Kluyveromyces lactis: one gene and its partners. The protein of the gene in region 1 interacts with the protein of each later gene in a pairwise test. Links are inferred from orthologs where the notes say so. Each region holds a gene or a part of one and is shown in the gene's direction. Other genes may lie near its edges.

The links.
Region 2: the proteins of UBR1 (region 1) and UFD4 interact in a two-hybrid assay, tested with the Saccharomyces cerevisiae proteins (2 studies listed by BioGRID, with this or other methods). The link is inferred for Kluyveromyces lactis from reciprocal best matches to the Saccharomyces cerevisiae genes UBR1 and UFD4.
Region 3: the proteins of UBR1 (region 1) and MCK1 interact in binary tests that used the Saccharomyces cerevisiae proteins (3 or more experiments, as listed by UniProt). The link is inferred for Kluyveromyces lactis from reciprocal best matches to the Saccharomyces cerevisiae genes UBR1 and MCK1.

The regions. Positions count from the first base shown.
Region 1 is NC_006042.1:1,408,951-1,414,741, reverse strand, and holds the end of UBR1 (E3 ubiquitin-protein ligase UBR1), read left to right. Parts: coding exon 1-4,286; downstream 4,287-5,791. Other genes in the region: QCR9 (ubiquinol--cytochrome-c reductase subunit 9), read left to right, coding at 4,681-4,749, 5,249-5,455. UniProt on the Saccharomyces cerevisiae protein: Ubiquitin ligase protein which is a component of the N-end rule pathway. Recognizes and binds to proteins bearing specific N-terminal residues that are destabilizing according to the N-end rule, leading to their ubiquitination and subsequent degradation.
Region 2 is NC_006038.1:1,184,258-1,190,566, forward strand, and holds the start of UFD4 (putative ubiquitin-protein ligase UFD4), read left to right. Parts: upstream 1-2,169; coding exon 2,170-6,309. Other genes in the region: SHU1 (Shu1p), read left to right, coding at 1-458; mRNA turnover protein MRT4, read right to left, coding at 552-1,268. UniProt on the Saccharomyces cerevisiae protein: E3 ubiquitin-protein ligase which accepts ubiquitin from an E2 ubiquitin-conjugating enzyme in the form of a thioester and then directly transfers the ubiquitin to targeted substrates.
Region 3 is NC_006041.1:670,616-675,808, reverse strand, and holds MCK1 (serine/threonine/tyrosine protein kinase MCK1), read left to right. Parts: upstream 1-2,021; coding exon 2,022-3,119; downstream 3,120-5,193. Other genes in the region: MRPS18 (mitochondrial 37S ribosomal protein YmS18), read right to left, coding at 182-799; VPS68 (Vps68p), read right to left, coding at 3,679-4,209; KRI1 (Kri1p), read left to right, coding at 4,842-5,193. UniProt on the Saccharomyces cerevisiae protein: May be an autophosphorylating tyrosine kinase, a bifunctional (serine/tyrosine-specific) protein kinase, or a serine kinase that is a substrate for an associated tyrosine kinase.

The DNA.
Region 1 (5,791 bases):
TTTTCCCACACATGACACGAAGTGTGACCTTCATGGATCGTGAACCTCAACTTACATCATTAAGGGAGAGTGTCGTTCAGTTATTCACCTGCCCAACTACGGCTTACAGTATTTTTCACAGTGGACATTTCAACTACGTCATATGGTCAGTGATTGACGTTTTTGTTGACTTTTCTACCATGGATGAGGGCACGTTGGTTTGGCAACGGGTTCAGAGAAGTAACCCTTCTAAAAGCTACAGTATATCATTCAAACAAGGATTGTATGCTGTAGAAACTTTACTCAGTAAAATCACTGACCCTAATCTATTGTTGAAACCGGGAGAGTTTATCATGATTGTAACACTATGTAAACTCTTCAACGGCGCATGGAAGATTAAAAGAAAGGAAGGAGAGCATGTTTTAAGGGAAGACCAGCATTTTATTCCATATTTGGAGTATACGACATCAGTCTATAGCATCATTCAGACTTTTGATAAAGTTTTGCAGCAATCAAAGGATCACATTGACCAGCGATTGCTTATTGGGGCCATCAACTTATTGGATTCATTTTTGGGACATAGAAACTTGTCATACAAATTATACAAAGACTTTGAAATCATAAAATTCCAAATCAGCAAAGAACGAGTTTCATTTATGAATCCCGTTCATACTTTGTTTTCTTTCCTTGTGCAGCATGTTCCCTTACAGGTGTCAATTCAAGTTTTATCTCAATCCAAAGACTATCTAGTTATTTCGGATTTTGCTTTGAGATCTGTCGTCTTATGTTCGCAAATCGATATAGGATTTTGGGTTAGAAATGGTATGTCAGTTCTTCACCAGTCAGCATATTACAAGAACAATCCTGAAATGAGCTCCTATAGCAGAGACATACAACTTAATCAATTGGCGTTTCTAATTGAAAAAAACGATTTTCAAAGAGTCATCTATAACATGTTAGATAGGTGGGAATTACTTGACTGGTTTGATGGAAGTGTTCCCTCGACAGAGACAGTGTACGATGATAAAATATCGTCGATTATTCAACAATTCGTTGCATTCCTATATCAGATATTGGTGGAAAGAGACTTTTATAAAAAGTTCGATACCCTGGAAGAAACACAATTGTACAACATTAAGAATGCCATTATTTATAAACTATACGCTGAACCACTATCATACACTGACTTATTGAACGATATACCCGATTACCTTACTGAAAGTGTTTCCCAATTTGATACAGTTCTCGAAGAAGTTTCTACGTACATTGAGCCCAAAGGGCTCGAAGATAATGGTGTTTTCAAACTAAAGAAGGAACTCTACAAGAGAATAGATTCCCTGCGGTTACTGAATATGGGAAATGATTTTGAACATAGTGCCACGATTGTTAAGTCACATTTAGCTGATAGCAAGGAAAAACGGGCCAAAATAATTGTCAAACCCCAATTACTTGAATTAGATGAATTAGACCCATGTGCGCGAGAACTAGGAAGCTTCACAAGAACAAATCTCTTTGCGAAGTTGATATTCAAGCTATTAAAGTTGGCTGTCTCCGATTCCAGTTTTTCGTTTACTTACGAGCTACTTCATTTAATTCATGCCATTTTTAGAGACGACGAAATGGTCAATGGTAAAGATTCTTTGCCAGAGGCGTATATTAGCAAACCAATATGTGATTTGTTATTGAGCATTGTTGACTCTGAAAGCGGATCGTTTTCTGAGAATGTCGTGGCAACTGCTGATTACCTTCTAGATAACATGATCATGAAGCGCCCAACGGCAGTTTTAGAATCTCTAACAGAGTGTTTCGGAACAAAGTACATCGCGGACTACAAAATCAGAAAAGCAAATCAAGGTGTAAATTTCGAGGAGACAGAGCAGGAGCGTAAAAGAAGGTTAGCCAAAAATCGTCAACAACAGATTATGAATAGATTCTCCCGTCAGCAGAAAAAATTCATGGACAAGCACGAGGAGTACAGTGCTGGTAATGACGAAGATGTGGATATGGACGGAGAAGATCTGGCAGGAGAACTCAATGAATTTCACTGCTCTCTTTGTCATGACGATGTGTCAGATGATTTTTTTGTTATCCCAATTTATCAAAACTACTCTCCTGTCTTTCTATCGTCCAACCCTACGCCAATGGAAATATACAAACCATGGCATGGCTTTGACAATAACGAACACCTCGCCACTTATAACACAGATTTGTTTTACAAGAAAAAAGAAAACGGAGCTAGTCAACTAATGCATGAGTCTACACAGAAGGTTCTTGTATCTTGTAATCATGCCGTGCACTATCGCTGTTTCAAACATTATATTGATAAGAAGCGGTATAGTACAGATCTCTTCATCTGCCCATTATGTCAAACGTATTGTAATTCAGTCATACCTGTCGATACAGTTAAACTTCAATCTGGTGATAGGCTTTTGCAACAGAAATTGACTGGAGGCTTGGATGAATCTTTATTGCTAACTTTTTCTGAGTACAGCTCTGAATGTAACGACGAAGTTGGAAAAATAATACTATCTCTCAAAGATTCTAACAATGGTCTACGGTTAAATCGCAATGATCCTACTTGGATCCAGGATAGGTTTTTAACTCTCTCTCTTCAGTTTTCTAACAACATCTGTATGCTAGAGATGTTGTCCAGGCTTAATAAAGATCCTTTTGGAACACTCTTATCAGGTGAAGAACAGAAATTTAAGACACTGCAGAACATTCTCAAGTCCTTGGCTGTCTACACACGATTAACTAAGCATACTGAAGAGAATGTACTCAAATTCTATGAAGATATTCGTAGCAGCAATTTACCAAGTTATCCGTTTTTCCGAGTTGTTGAAACGGTATTAAGGTCTAGACTTTCCTTTAAGGATTGTTTACAGGAAGTACTCGTGGAGCGTTTGAAGGGTCTGACAAAAGACTTTGGGTCTTTCTATAGGAAATATGAATCCGAGCTTCGAGCCCAGACTTGCCTTGACTCCTCTGAATTTTCAATTGTATTGAAAACAACGATATTAGGAGCTGGATTTGGTGATCAAGTTGAAAAGCACACCTTGGATTTGTTCTATACCTTCTTAATTTCTGAATTGCTACCTACGCTAAGGAGATCAATTATCTTGCTGAAGGCCTTAAAGCAATTTATGACAGGGGGGGATGATTTAGATTTTAATGAAAAAGATGTGCTGAGTGGTAGCCTTACTTCCGAAAGCAAAGAAAAACATTTCCATCTTTTGATAAGATTTTTGCTCCAGACTGATTTTTATGACTTGTTGATGAATTCGCATTCTCCTCTCTCCCCTGAAAGCTCCTTGGTTAATGCTCCACATGAGTACTGCAGTATCATCAAATTAACCGATTTAGCAACTCATTTGAATACTTATGTGACTAATAATAAAAACATTACTTTGCGTGAAGAGAATGATCAAAAAATTAGAAATACTGTCAACAGACTTGATTATAAAATTTGTTTGATATGTGGTGTCAAGATTCACGCACGTACAGATGGCCTTGAAATGCAAAAGCACATGGAAAGGTGTTCCCATGGTTCCAGTGGGTTGTTTTTAATTCCTAATATCAGTCAAGTGTGCCTCTATTTAAGTAGACCGGACTGTACCGTCAACATTTCGGCCCCTTATTTGAACTCACACGGTGAATCAGGAAGAAACGCTATCGAACGAGGTGATCTAACAGTATTAAATCATGCTAGATATGAACATTTAACTCGTCTTTGGATTTCAAATGGTATCCCCGGTTATATCAGCCGAGTAATGGGGGACGAATTCAGGGTTGCGATGGCAAATAACCGAACATTTACGAGGAACATGTTTTGGAGACCTGGTGCTGCTTTCAACGCTGGTGGGGAGAGCAGTGACGAGGACCTTATGAACGATGATGAGTTTGGGAATGATGATCGTCCAGATCTAAGGTTTAGACAGCCTGATGTTGAATTACGCATCAATGGTGGACCATTCGGTGGAGATATCCCTATAAGATTACCAACCGAAAGAGGTGACATACATGATTTTTTCGAGTTTGTTCAAAACATGAGAGGGGGTATGCAAGGTGATGGCGCAGACATTCCGACTACAGAAGATATCATTGAACAACTGCAAGGAAATGCAATGAATGGATTCTTCGGCCGTGCAGATAGAAATAGAGAGCACTTTGAACTGAATGATCAAAGTGACGGCAATGAAGATGGTGAGGACGAAGAGCACGAAAACAACGCTTCGGAAGATCAAGACACGGAATACAGTTCTGCAGAAGAAGGTTTTGATTTCAACGAGTTAAATAACGTAGAATGAATAACTTTTTGCTCGTCACACCTCAAAATTGCCTTAACCTTATGGCACCATTCACAACTTCAATGTACCAAATATATATAGAATAGCACGTTATTTCGTTTATGCACACATCGATATAAGATATTTTTACTAGTTTTGCATAAATCTGCAATATGTGGAGTGGACTGACCACAGGATACTATGCCGTCCAATATCTTACAGAATCTTTTATTGTAGCCTGACTCTGTCCCACCCTTTGATAATTCATGTTGAAAGTACTCCCAGTACTAGACTTTTGCACGTGATTACTTCTGGATATCATACCATACGACCCAATTATATCCGAGTACGGAACTTTTCTTCAAATTTTTGAAAAACTGGATAAATGTATAAAACGGAAAGCTAACTTCGACTGATGCCAAAGACAAGGTTTAATAAGAAAAAGTTCAGCTCAACAGAAACCAGAACTCCCGTTTTAGAAATGGTATGTTAATGATTTGATTAGTCATGGATAATACATATGATATGCGTCTTTTCTGGATCTGAAAACATTGATTTTGGCGTAGATGTCTTATTTGACTTCTGGAATTGAGAAACCGAAAACTGGGAACTGAAAAAACTGTTTGTAAACACGATGCAAATTACATTGAGCAGATGCTAATGTACAATTATACTATTATTAGTGAAATATACTTCCAAAGCTGAATGTCTGCATATCCCGTGGTGTTTCCGATGCCTGTTAAGGTTCCCTGGAGGTATGACCGATATCTCCATATAATAGAAAGGCAGTCTCAATACTACATTTATCTTCGAAGTACGACCATGGCTTATCGCATGTATATCAGTTACATCAAACAAGTGAAGAATGGACACCTTCTGGGCAAAATCCAGCGGCTGTTTTCCCAGATCATTGCGGATTGACTACATGAAATATTAGATCATATTACTAACAATTATTTTTCTGAACAACTTAATTATCACAGTCTTTCGCCTCTACTCTGTACAAAACTGTCTTTAAGAGAAACTCTGTTTTCGTTGGTACCGTGTTCGCCTCTGCCTTCGTTTTCCAAGCTGCCTTCGATACTGGTGTGACCTCTTGGTACGAAAACCACAACAAAGGTAAGTTATGGAAAGATATCAAGGGTGGTATCATGAACGGTGGTGAAGAAGATGAAGAAGACGATGAATAAGTTTCTTTTGACATTTGAATTATATCATTTCTCATCATTATACTTTTAAGTGTCTTTTCATTGATGCTTTTGTTCAATTATTTTACTTCTTAGAATATACCGTCACTTCAAAACATATTTTAAAAATGTGGATACGCTACTGTCGGGAAACATTTATCTATCCGGCACTCCATACGTCTACCAGGCCTAGGACATCAACTTTGGAATGATGTTCTCAGATTTTCATAACATTCATCCTTTTCGCTATCGGAATCTCACTCGATTCAAGAGATAAAAAGGGTAAAACATATATGACCATAAAGCGTGAATATCTGCGCATTGATGTTCATCTTATTT
Region 2 (6,309 bases), on another chromosome or scaffold:
TTGGCGTTAAGGCTCGAAGTTTCTTCGAGCAAGATCTACGGGAAAACAAGACGCATTTCTTTAACAGTATTGATGATATAGTCAGGGGACGATCCAACGTGCGGATTCTGTTCCTTGATAAATTACAGTATTTATATATGTACTTGACATATGTCGAGATTGAGCTCCAGAATAAAGGAAACACATCGATGTGCTATGAAGAAATTATCATCTACGGTTTAGAGTCCCTGTTAATGACGAAAGAACAATTGGAATCAGAAGAGACACAGAAAACTCTTGATCTGTCAATCTCCCAGCTGCGACATTGTAACCTCATCCTTCATGGATCGCTTCGACTGGAAAATCAGTACGCTGTGCGTATCAGAATGGTGTCAGCGACAGATCTGGGAATGATGTCTCAAGGTTGGAAGAATCTGACCGAATATTGGCAGTACGTGTATTCGATAAAGGATTCCTAGAGAAGAGATTAATGTACAAAGGAGAAATATATAGGTTATGATTATATATATATATTTATAGTTTATCACTGCAATGCTTTCTTATTTTTGGATTTATTTCGAATCCATGTTGATATTGATCTGTTCCACACTAGAAGTTTCGTTATCGTAGTATGCGGCAACCTTCACCCTGAATTCAGCAGCTGCTATACCAAATTGTTTCAAGATCAATGCTTGAGTAACATCTAGAGTTTTGCCCTTTTCACAGACCAAGTATGGAGATTCGATGGTAATCTTACCATTCTTAATTTTGGTTGGAATCTTGAACTTGTTTCTTAGAGTTGGTTCCAGAGAATGTATCATAGGCACATCTTCTTCTTCTGGGATTTGACCACCACGAGAGTATACAATACCGGCTGGAATGGTAAAAGACAATGGAGCCTTTGATTTTGGTCTGGAGAAATCAGCTCTCACATATGCCTTGAAGTAATCTTCCACTACATCGACAGGTTCGTTGGTAAATAATAGACCAGTAACACCAGAACAGTGCTTACATAGTTTGGCCAAGTTCTCCTTGTACTCTTCCTCTGGCTTTTCACCTAACGCTTTCACCAACACCTTCCTCTTACCCATGATTAACTTGGATCCAACCCAAGAACTTCTAATCTCTTGCAAAACTGGAGTTCTCACATCTTCCAAATGTAAAACCCAAGCGTATCTGAAAGAATCCAAGGCTTCTCTAACTTCATCGAATATCCTTTCCTTGTTCTCTCTACCCTTCTTATCGGTTTGGGCCAATGTAACCAACTTTGAACGCTTAGATCTTGGCATCGTATCTGGGTTGGTATATGTAGTAGCTTGATGATAAAGAGTAACGAAAAGTAAACAATTATCAGAACACTATTCAATTACAGAAGAGAGATAAATAAAGAGGAATACAACTGATAGAATATAGCGATTAGTACTGTTGATCAGTTTAAACTATGAAAGGTCCATCGAGTAGATGCGATGAGATGAGCTTTCTCAAACTGAAAAATTTGCGCCTTTCTTTTTCTTTCTAGTTGTGAGTCACGTGATTTGATTTTTCCAAACGGAAAGTAACGACCTCTGACACAAAGTGAATCGGTAAGACATATACCGGCTCTTTTGCAATGCTCTAGGGCCATTCTCATAAGCTCGGTTAGAGAGGTTTATTCTAAGGAACTGCAAAACCAAACTCCGGTATGAATTCCCTTGACTGATTTCTGAGTCTCTCACTCATTGCCAATGAGACAATAGATCTCAATTCAACACAAATATCAAGACTAGAAAGGCACAGATAGGGCATGATCGTGTATCGGGCAAGTAGATATAGTGGTAATGATTTAACCTATTACCGGAGATGTATTGTAAATGGGGAAGTAAACTTAGTCACGTGACTCATTACTTGTGGCGACGGGTATTGTGTATATTTTCCTCAGATAAAACCGCAGTGTACCGGACCAAAATGTACCTTAAAAGTTCAGAGTCAGGAAATTGCAATCTCAGTACATATTTAGCAGGAAACAAACTAGTTGGTTTGATATGAACAGCCGGCGAGTTAAACATACCTCTTGTATTGCTTGCCAAAGTCTAACAACCTCTAAGATACCAATTATTAAGGTGGTAAGAGATACCGGGTTGTGAACTAGAAATTTTAGATAGTAATTTTGCCTCTTATTTGTGATTTGAAACAGGAAAGGGTTTTGAAAAGATGAGTTATTACGATGGCGATGGCGACTATATCATATATGAAGATGCGAACGGTAGCCATGAAAGTGATGATGTTGAATCTGGCGAATATTCTTATCCAGAGGATGAAGATGATTTAGAGTTTGTCCATCACGATGATGATGATGATGAAGACGAAGACGGGGAAGAAGATGGATCGCAAGGAGAGCAGTTGGACGAAGATCAAGATGAAGATCAAGACGATGAGGAAGTAGAAGGTGAGATAGGGAATGTTTATCATGAAAGCCGTTCTGGGGACCGTGCGGACAGGATTTCGTTTCTACAAGATATTGTTTCTCGTCTAGCGGATCAAAGATCTGGTGAAAGTGGGGATGGTGATGTTGCTGAAGGCGAGGAAGCTGATTCGGAGCGTGCATTTGGACGTTCATTGCCAGATCTGTTGCAAGAACTAGGAAGGTCTGAAGGGTTTTTCGGTGTTAGCAGAGGAAATTCTCGGTATTTGAAATTGATTGAGAATGTGCTTCAAGCTGAAGACGATCCGTATATTGCTATGGAATCTCTCCGGGAATTATCTGAACAGCTATTGATGTTAAACCCTTTGATCGCTGATCGAATCATCCCATCTGGCAAGTTAATGGACGCTTTGATCCATGTATTGTCTAGCCCATTATTACAAGCAGAGTTGGAGTTACAATTAATTGCTTGTAGGTGTCTCTATAACTACTATGAGATGAACCCAGAAATGATAGAGGTTTCGGTTAATAGAGATATTATTGAGATATTGAGAGGGAAATTGAATGAGATAAGCTATATCGATTTGGCAGAACAAGTTTTGGAGTGTTTAGAGTTCATTTCAAGGGTACATGGATCTAAGATTTTAAGAAGCGGTACCCTTCTCTCTTGTTTGCAATATTTGGATTTCTTTACCGTCCATGCGCAGAAAAAATCATTATCTATCGTTGCGAACTCATGTGCTAGGGCTAAGGAAAGTGACTTCGAGGTGGTATCAGAGATTTTCCCCATCTTGAAATCTATCTTCCTAAATAGTACAAATCCAGTAATTTTGAAGCCAGTTCTCATAACACTTTACAGCATTTCAGGATCTTTGAACAAGAAATCATTATCTAAACTCTTTGACTTCGAGTTGGTTAAAAGGTTATTGTCGTTGTTATCTTCTTCAGAGATTGAACGTGAATCTGTTTTGAAAGTCTTGGATATTTCATCACTCTTGGTCTCCACCAATGTTGAATTGTCAAAACAAATCCTATTGGATTGTGAGTTGAACAAAGTTATTCAAAACGTTTTCCAGTCTTATAAGAAATCAGCATCTTCCACCTTCAGTGAAACTTTGATTTATGTTCCTAAAGAGCTTTTGTTGTCGGTAACAACTTTCCTCTTACTTTTGCTCCCAACTGAAGATTCTCAAATCTTGACAGCCGATGAGGTCAAAGTTTTCACATTTGACGGAAATGAGGATAAATTCCTTGAACTAGTCAATGAGTTGATTCCTTGTTTGGTGGAAATATATTCCAATACAGTGGATACTAAGATTAGATATACAGTTCTTGTTGCATTGGCTAGGGTGTTCACGTCTATACCTCATGGCTACGATATTCCTAGTTCGTCCGTTATTAACATAATATCCTCTGGTCTCATCAATGGTTCAAATGCGCAACAAGATCATATGAAGACTGAGACCAGTGCAGTACTAGTAGCACTGCTTTCGTTAATTTCTATCATGATGTCTAATAATCCGGATTTGTATCTACCGAAACTAAGAAAAGAAGGTATACCAGATGCTTTAACCTCTTTGAATTCTCACTACAGTTATGAGCTCAGCAAGAAAGATAGTATTGATAAACAGGAATCGTCATCAGATGAAGCCGAGAAGTCAGGATATCATATACGTCCGGAAAACTCTGATTCTCATCCTGTTTTTGGATCTGATTCTGACATTGAAGATGAAGATGATGATGAAGAAAAAGACAGTTACAGGATGGAGTACGACGACATGAACATACCTGAATTTGTCAAACCGAGAAAAATCCGCATTAATATCTACGATCATTTGACTCCTTATTACCTAATAAAACATGTTTCCATGTTTAGTGCTACACTACTAGAGTTGTTTTCATCTAACCAAGAAGAAGTCTCCAGCGAGCTTTCTGAAATTAATGCTGTTGTCACTAAGATGAAGGAACTGGATGTTCAATCTGATTCCGAACAATATTGGATGGATTTCTGGACTGCTGTAAAATCCTCATTATTTGATGATATGTCCAACATATCTGGCTTCGAGCTCATTTCCACTGGTCTCATTGATTCTATGGCTAATATCTTTGAAACTGATTCAACGAAACAATCATTCTCCAAGAGGACTTTTCTGAAAGTGTTCGAGGAAAAATTGCCTGAATTTGTGAAGCTACTACAAAATGCATTGTCTAGGACGGAAACCTTTGCCATCCTAGATGCTGGTGCCAGTAGCAACGATTCTCCAAGTGCCTCGTTAATCAAACAGATGAAAATAAGATTAGTTCATGAGCCGGCCGATGATGAAGTGGGAAAAGATACTGTTCCAGAAACTCTTCAAGATGTTGTAATTGCCGTGCATTGCGTTGCATCTTTGAAAACACTTGATGAATTCTTGAAACACAAGATTGTGCAATCGGAATTTTTGACTTCTATCATTCCGAGCATGAGTCGTGCTAATCAACAAGCCAACCCTACAAATGTTGCCAAAGAACTTGAAAACATACAATTTGACTTTTCGTTGAATGACCATCTTTTAGATCAATCGTCAACTATTTACTCTATTATATTCAAAGAGGCGATGAAAGAAGGGTTACCCACAACGAGTATCTGGACTAACGTACCTACTTTTAAGTTCAAGAAATCAGTAAAAAGAAGGGAGTCACATCAATTGCATGTGCTTTACCCCGATACAGCTTTTGAAGGGGCGGATTTGAAGCCTGTCAATGGTATTTTGACAGTTCTACAATGTTGCCAACATAAATCACTCCCAGCATCTATTTATGTGAATCCAAAGATTAGTGCTAAGCTTTCCCGTCAACTTGAAGAGCCACTTATTGTGGCATGTGGGGTCTTACCAAGTTGGGTCCTCGATATCACGAGAAAATATGGATTTTTGTTTCCATTTGAAACTAGAATGAACTTCTTACAGAATACATCATATGGATATGGCAGATTGATCCAATACTGGAGGGAAAAGCTGGCAGATCAGCACCATAGTAACCCTACTGAAAATCCATTGCATCAATTAGGCAGGTTGACTAGACACAAGTTGAGGGTTTCAAGAGACTCACTATTTTTGTCCGGCATCAAAATTCTAAAAAAGTATGGTTCTTCGCCAAACGTATTGGAGATCGAATACAAAGATGAAGAAGGTACAGGGTTAGGACCCACTCTCGAATTTTACTCTTTGATGTCGAAAGAATTTGCAAGGAAGTCTCTAAAAATGTGGAAGACCAATAGTGATACCAGTGATGATGAGGAGGAGTATGTGACAGGTGCATTGTTCCCTGGACCATTATTGGGCACCACCGAGGAGAATAACGAAAAGACTTTGAAATTATTCGAAAACTTGGGGACCTTAGTCGCTAGGTCAATGTTAGATAATAGGATTCTCGATTTTAGATTTAACGCTGTTTTCTTCGAGTTGATGCACAAATGCTGCAAGAATGATCGACTTGACCTAGAAGACTTCGAAACTTGTATCCACCTCGTAGGACAGTTTGATGTTCAACTAGGAAAATCACTCGCATTTTTGTATGATAATCGTCATGATGACTCTATCAAAAACCTTGACCTATATTTCATGCTGCCTGGTTATGATATAGAATTGTTGGAAGGTGGTTCGAAAATCTTAGTTGAATCTTTCAACGTGGAAGAGTACTTGATTCGTGTCTTTGACCAATTTTTGGGCAAAGGCGTAGATATGCAGCTCGCTGCCTTCAGGAACGGATTTTCGAAATCATTCCCTTATTCATCATTGCTAATCTTAACTCCGACAGAACTATCCGATTTGTTTGGTGCAGTTGCTGAAGATTGGTCTGTGCAAACGCTATACTCATCCATTCATGCAGACCATGGCTACTCGATGGATTCTCCAATCATAACAGACCTCATAGATATTTTGTCGAAT
Region 3 (5,193 bases), on another chromosome or scaffold:
CAATGTCATAATTGTGTGAAATCATACTTCGAATTGCTGTCTTAATGTATTTAAACGAAAATTCTGGTGCGTTACGTTAAATTTATATACATGCATTATTTGTTATTATACCGAATTATTTTCCAAATTCATGTCTATACACAGAGACTATTAGTGAAAGATGAAATGGTGAGAGACCGAATCACAATCTTCTTGGTCTTGGGGCCTTCACACCACCGAATTTCAATTCAGTAGCATCGGCTACTCTAGATATGTGACGTCTGATGAGGTTTCCTTCCTTACCGTTCAATGCACTGATGAAAGCATCTCTTCCCTTACCGAAGTCTCTCATAACAATTTCTATATTCTTATCCAGTAGCTTCTTCTGATAAAGAGTTTCAAATAACTTAGTTGCTGTTTGGAATGAGGCTTCATATTCACCACGGGCAGCTTTACGGAACCCTAAATGACCAGTAGATAAATGAAATTTGACCTGTTGTGGGAGTTTCAAATAGTATAGATATTTTTCGTTGTAGGATAATTGTGGATTGTTCGCCAAAAAGTTTCTATCCTCCATTACGGCACTGTATGTGAAATGTGTATTGTTCTTAGTGAATCTGCAGTTCAATATATATTTTATCACTGCTTCATCGACTCTCCCTTTCTTATTGCTACCACGAAGAGTATTAGGTTGGACAACATTGGTGTCTTCCATCACTGGAGCCTTTTCTGATCCTTTGACAGATGAAAATAAGATGGAAGCCACATCTTGGTTTGTCCTGGCCGTTGAGCTGAACAGTCTCACTAATGTTCTCAGCATCGTGGTGTATTTTCGACGCCGATTTATATTAACCACAACCTGTGTCTTTCTCGAATGCAGGTCTCCATACTCAGACGAATAGTATTCCTCTATGAAATGCAAACTCTAAATATCTTCTGTTTTCCCAATTCATTTTCAAGATATGCTCATAAACCATTACCCGGTGTTGCATTAACACGTGACTAACTTGTCATTACCCGGTGTATAAGGATTAGCCTTTAATGTGAAGTGCCTGCAGTCCACTGGCGGAAGATATCACGTTGATAAAGAGTGCCGAGATGCGATGGGGTAAACATTTGATAGAAATATTATATGCAGACTGGCGAAGATCACCTCGCATTCCCCAAACCATTTCTACAACTTGATGCTACAATCAAGAGAAAGTTCAGGTGGAGGATATAGGACCTGAACCTGAGTAATTCCTCATTAATGCTATAAATGCCAATTTAACTTCGTTTGTGCATTCATATCTAGAGAGAGTGTAGTACTCTCAGAGTCGAACTTCATAAAAGCTGGCTCTGGGAGATCTTAGAATTAAATTTTGTTTGGAACGTTCCCTCAATTAGAACGTCTTTTATATCGCTTTTATCAATAATTGTGTAACTCAGTCAGTAGTCAGTCAGTCATATTGATATCAGATTCTTGGAAAACCGAATATGAAAATCAATTTTAGTTTTAGGAAATTAGGAAAAAACAAACAAAAAATAAACCAGAACCTTGTTTCAAAGTAACAAATAGGGTCTCTGATAACGGACACAACACTGCTAAGGGTGCTCAAACGTTTAAGTTCTGGGAACTTCTAGTTGTTGAATTTGCCGAGCGATTGCAGCGCGAAGAATTTACTGCGAAGAAACATTATAGACACTGCTGCATCACTTGTTGCAAGGGACTAATTGACTTGCTTGAGTAAGAGTGTTTTCCCCCTGTTGTGTTGCTTTTATTAATATTAGCGATTTCATTTCATCAATTCATTTAATACAGATTTTATTGATTCATTACAATTCAATATTTCCCTTTTTTTCCTGAACCATCCACGTTACATCCGTTAGGAACATATCTATATTCTAAGGTTTGCTTGCAAAATAACGGTTGAAGTTTGTAATTTGAAGACTTGAGCGAAATACAACGAACAAAAAGTGGTAATTTTTTTCTTATTCGATAGATATCGCATCGCTTTTGTATCTGTTACTATCTGTCTTCTTTCCCCTTATTGCGATTCGCCATGTCTATGCAAAGATTAGATGAATACGTGGCTCATGATGTCATCAGTAATAAATCCAATGTCAAGCGAGAAATGCTCGTAAAGGAATATAAGCGAATTGGGCAAGGTGCATTTGGCACGGTGGTGCAAGCTTACCTAACACCGGATAATCAGAAGTGGTTGGGTCCTTTTGCCATTAAGAAGGTTCCTGCTCAGACTGAGTATAAATCTAGAGAGTTAGAGATTTTACGAATTGCGGACCATCCAAATGTTGTCAAATTGGAATATTTCTACACTCATATCTCACCAACAGATCATAAATTATACCAACATTTGGCGATGGAATGCTTGCCCGAAATGCTACAAAACGAAATTTTACGATATAAGAAGAATAACTTGGAGTTACCGTTGAAGCACGTTAAACTATACGCCTACCAAATTGCTAGAGGTATGCTTTACCTACATGCACTAGGAATATGCCATAGAGACATAAAACCTTCAAACGTCTTGGTTGATCCACAAACGGGTATATTGAAGATTTGTGATTTTGGATCAGCGAAAAAGTTAGAATCGAACCAACCATCGATTAGTTACATCTGTTCAAGATATTATAGAGCTCCAGAATTGATTGTAGGATGTACACAATACACAACAAAGATAGATATTTGGGGATTAGGATGTGTATTGGGAGAAATGCTCTTAGGTAAAGCAGTATTCCAAGGCCATCAACCATTATTACAACTACATGAAATCACAAAATTACTCGGGCCTCCTGACAAAAGGTTCATCTTTTTTTCTAATCCATCGTACAATGGACCTTTATTCTCCAAGCCATTATTTGAAGGAGCTCCAAAAGCAAGATTCGAGAAATATTTCGGCTACGCTGGACCAGATGGTGTTGATTTGTTGATGAGTGTGTTGGTATACGAACCTGAAAGAAGAGCTTCTCCAAGAAGGATCCTTGCACATCCATTCTTTGATGATTTAAGAAATGAGCGCTATTTCTTCCCTAGCGGAAGTTCACAACCTAAACATTTACCTCCTCTTTATGACTTCTCTGATTTCGAATTGCAAGTCATTGGCGACCTTTTTCCAAAGATACAGCCAAAGCAAGATTGATTCTTGCCTCTTGACATTTTTTTCCTTTCTGTAATCCTTTGTATCAACTTCAATGCATTTCACAAGCTACGATAAACTATCTCAAGGACAGTCTTTCCGATGATTCTACGTCCTCTAAATCCAGTTCTCAGCATCATTGTTTTTCAATCCTGCTGTTTATCTTACCTTTAATCTTTTATTTTATTATTATTATTATTATTATTATTATTATTATTATTATTATTATTATTATTATTATTATTATTATTATTATTATTATTATTATTATTATTAATTCTACGCTCTTCTAATACATCGATATTCTTCATTCAGCACTCCAGGCTTAGCCCGTTACCAATTTATCGTACGTTACCGTTCATGCTAATTGTGTTCCAGAGATAATAAAATGAGACATGTACAACTCATAGAGGGGCTGTTGAGTCATAGGAATAATTGACCGTTTCTAATACGTTTTAAAATTGGGAAGGTATTTATACGTATACATGCAGAAGGCTATATCTGTACACTGTTCTTAAATACGGCAATCCAATATGATACTTCACGAAGTTTCATTGACACATCATAGAGTCAATGAATAGTTATATTCATCCTCCACATTTTGTCCAATCCATAACATGGTGCAACTTAGAAGAATAGCCAGGTTTGCAAGCACATTGTTAATTCCCATTCCTAAGGTTGGATAGGAGGTATAATCCTTCAATAAAAACTTAACAATCAAAACGACCAAAGAACCGGAAATGCCGCTTGCTAACAGTGAAAATCCTAGGAAAAGTACTACTCTGGCCTGCCATGCAGTAGATTGAGATCCGGTGAACGTTCCTGAGGATAAAGCGTCTTGTAGCAATCTATTTTTTTCGATAGAACTCACAATTGCCATCCCAAGCACACTGCATAGCATTGGCACCCAGTCAATAAATGAAATGTGCAAATCTGAACCATTTGCATGCTTGGAGTACAACACACAATCTAAGAAGGACCAGAGACCCGCACCGTATAAGGCACCAGCTACATAAACGCACACCTTTTTGGCCGATACCGAAGTTGGCAACTTGAAGGGCAAACGAAACAGTCTTTCATGTGAGGTGTCCATTGTATTAGGCGTGTAAGCTGTTCAATCTAAAAAATAACCGTTGTATTTACCCTGTAAGTTAAAACAAGATGTTCAGCAACAAATAGAGCCAGCAGTCCCGTTGACTTTTACTTTAGTACCTTTAAATATATTCTTCTTTAAAGCTCACACTTGTTGGATTTCCTTTATTTTCCTATGAAATAATATGGGAGAATATCATGCAGATACAAATAATACGTTGCAGATTCAGCTTGCAGGTGAGTAAACGACGATTGTGTGATTTCTAACTGAGTACTAAACCCAACAATTATCTGTGGGAAGCCCATATTACCGTTTTTGAGGCTTGCCTACATCTTGCGCCTTCGAAAGACGTCCGCGCACAGACTACAAACGGTATAACCAGGACCTGTTTCTCTGCGTTAGCGGTCACGTGTTTGAATTTCTTTTTCATCATGTTCTGATCGAAAACCATGGAGCGAAAGTTTTACAAACTGAAGCCCATCGCATCTCATCGAATCTGTATCAATGAGAAAGAGGAAAGATTAGCATCAAGGGAGGCTTTCATTGCTATTTAACTTGGGCAATCGTATCCTGTTGATTATTTTTCCTCAAAGAACAGTTTAACATAAGTGAACCAAGTTTCTTATACATAAATGCCTAGAAAGAAATCTGCTGCCAAGAAGGCTAGAGAAGCCATCAAGAAGCAAGAGTCAGTTGCAGTGAAGGGCAGTTCAACGAAGGTTCCAACTACCGACGTTGAAGGCAAGAATACCGAGGTCATAAGTGTGAAAACTGGGTCAAAGCATGATGTCACTGCTTCTAAAGAGGTTCCTGCTGAAGTAGACGATGACGATGAAGATAGTTCGACCTCAGAAGAAGAAGATGATTATGGTGAATTGATCACTGAAGAAGTAGAAGAAGGTATTCAAAAAGTCTTAGATGCTATTAAAAATAATGAGACTGATAAACTATTGAACCCGGGAGTGAAATTTTTCGAAGAACCCG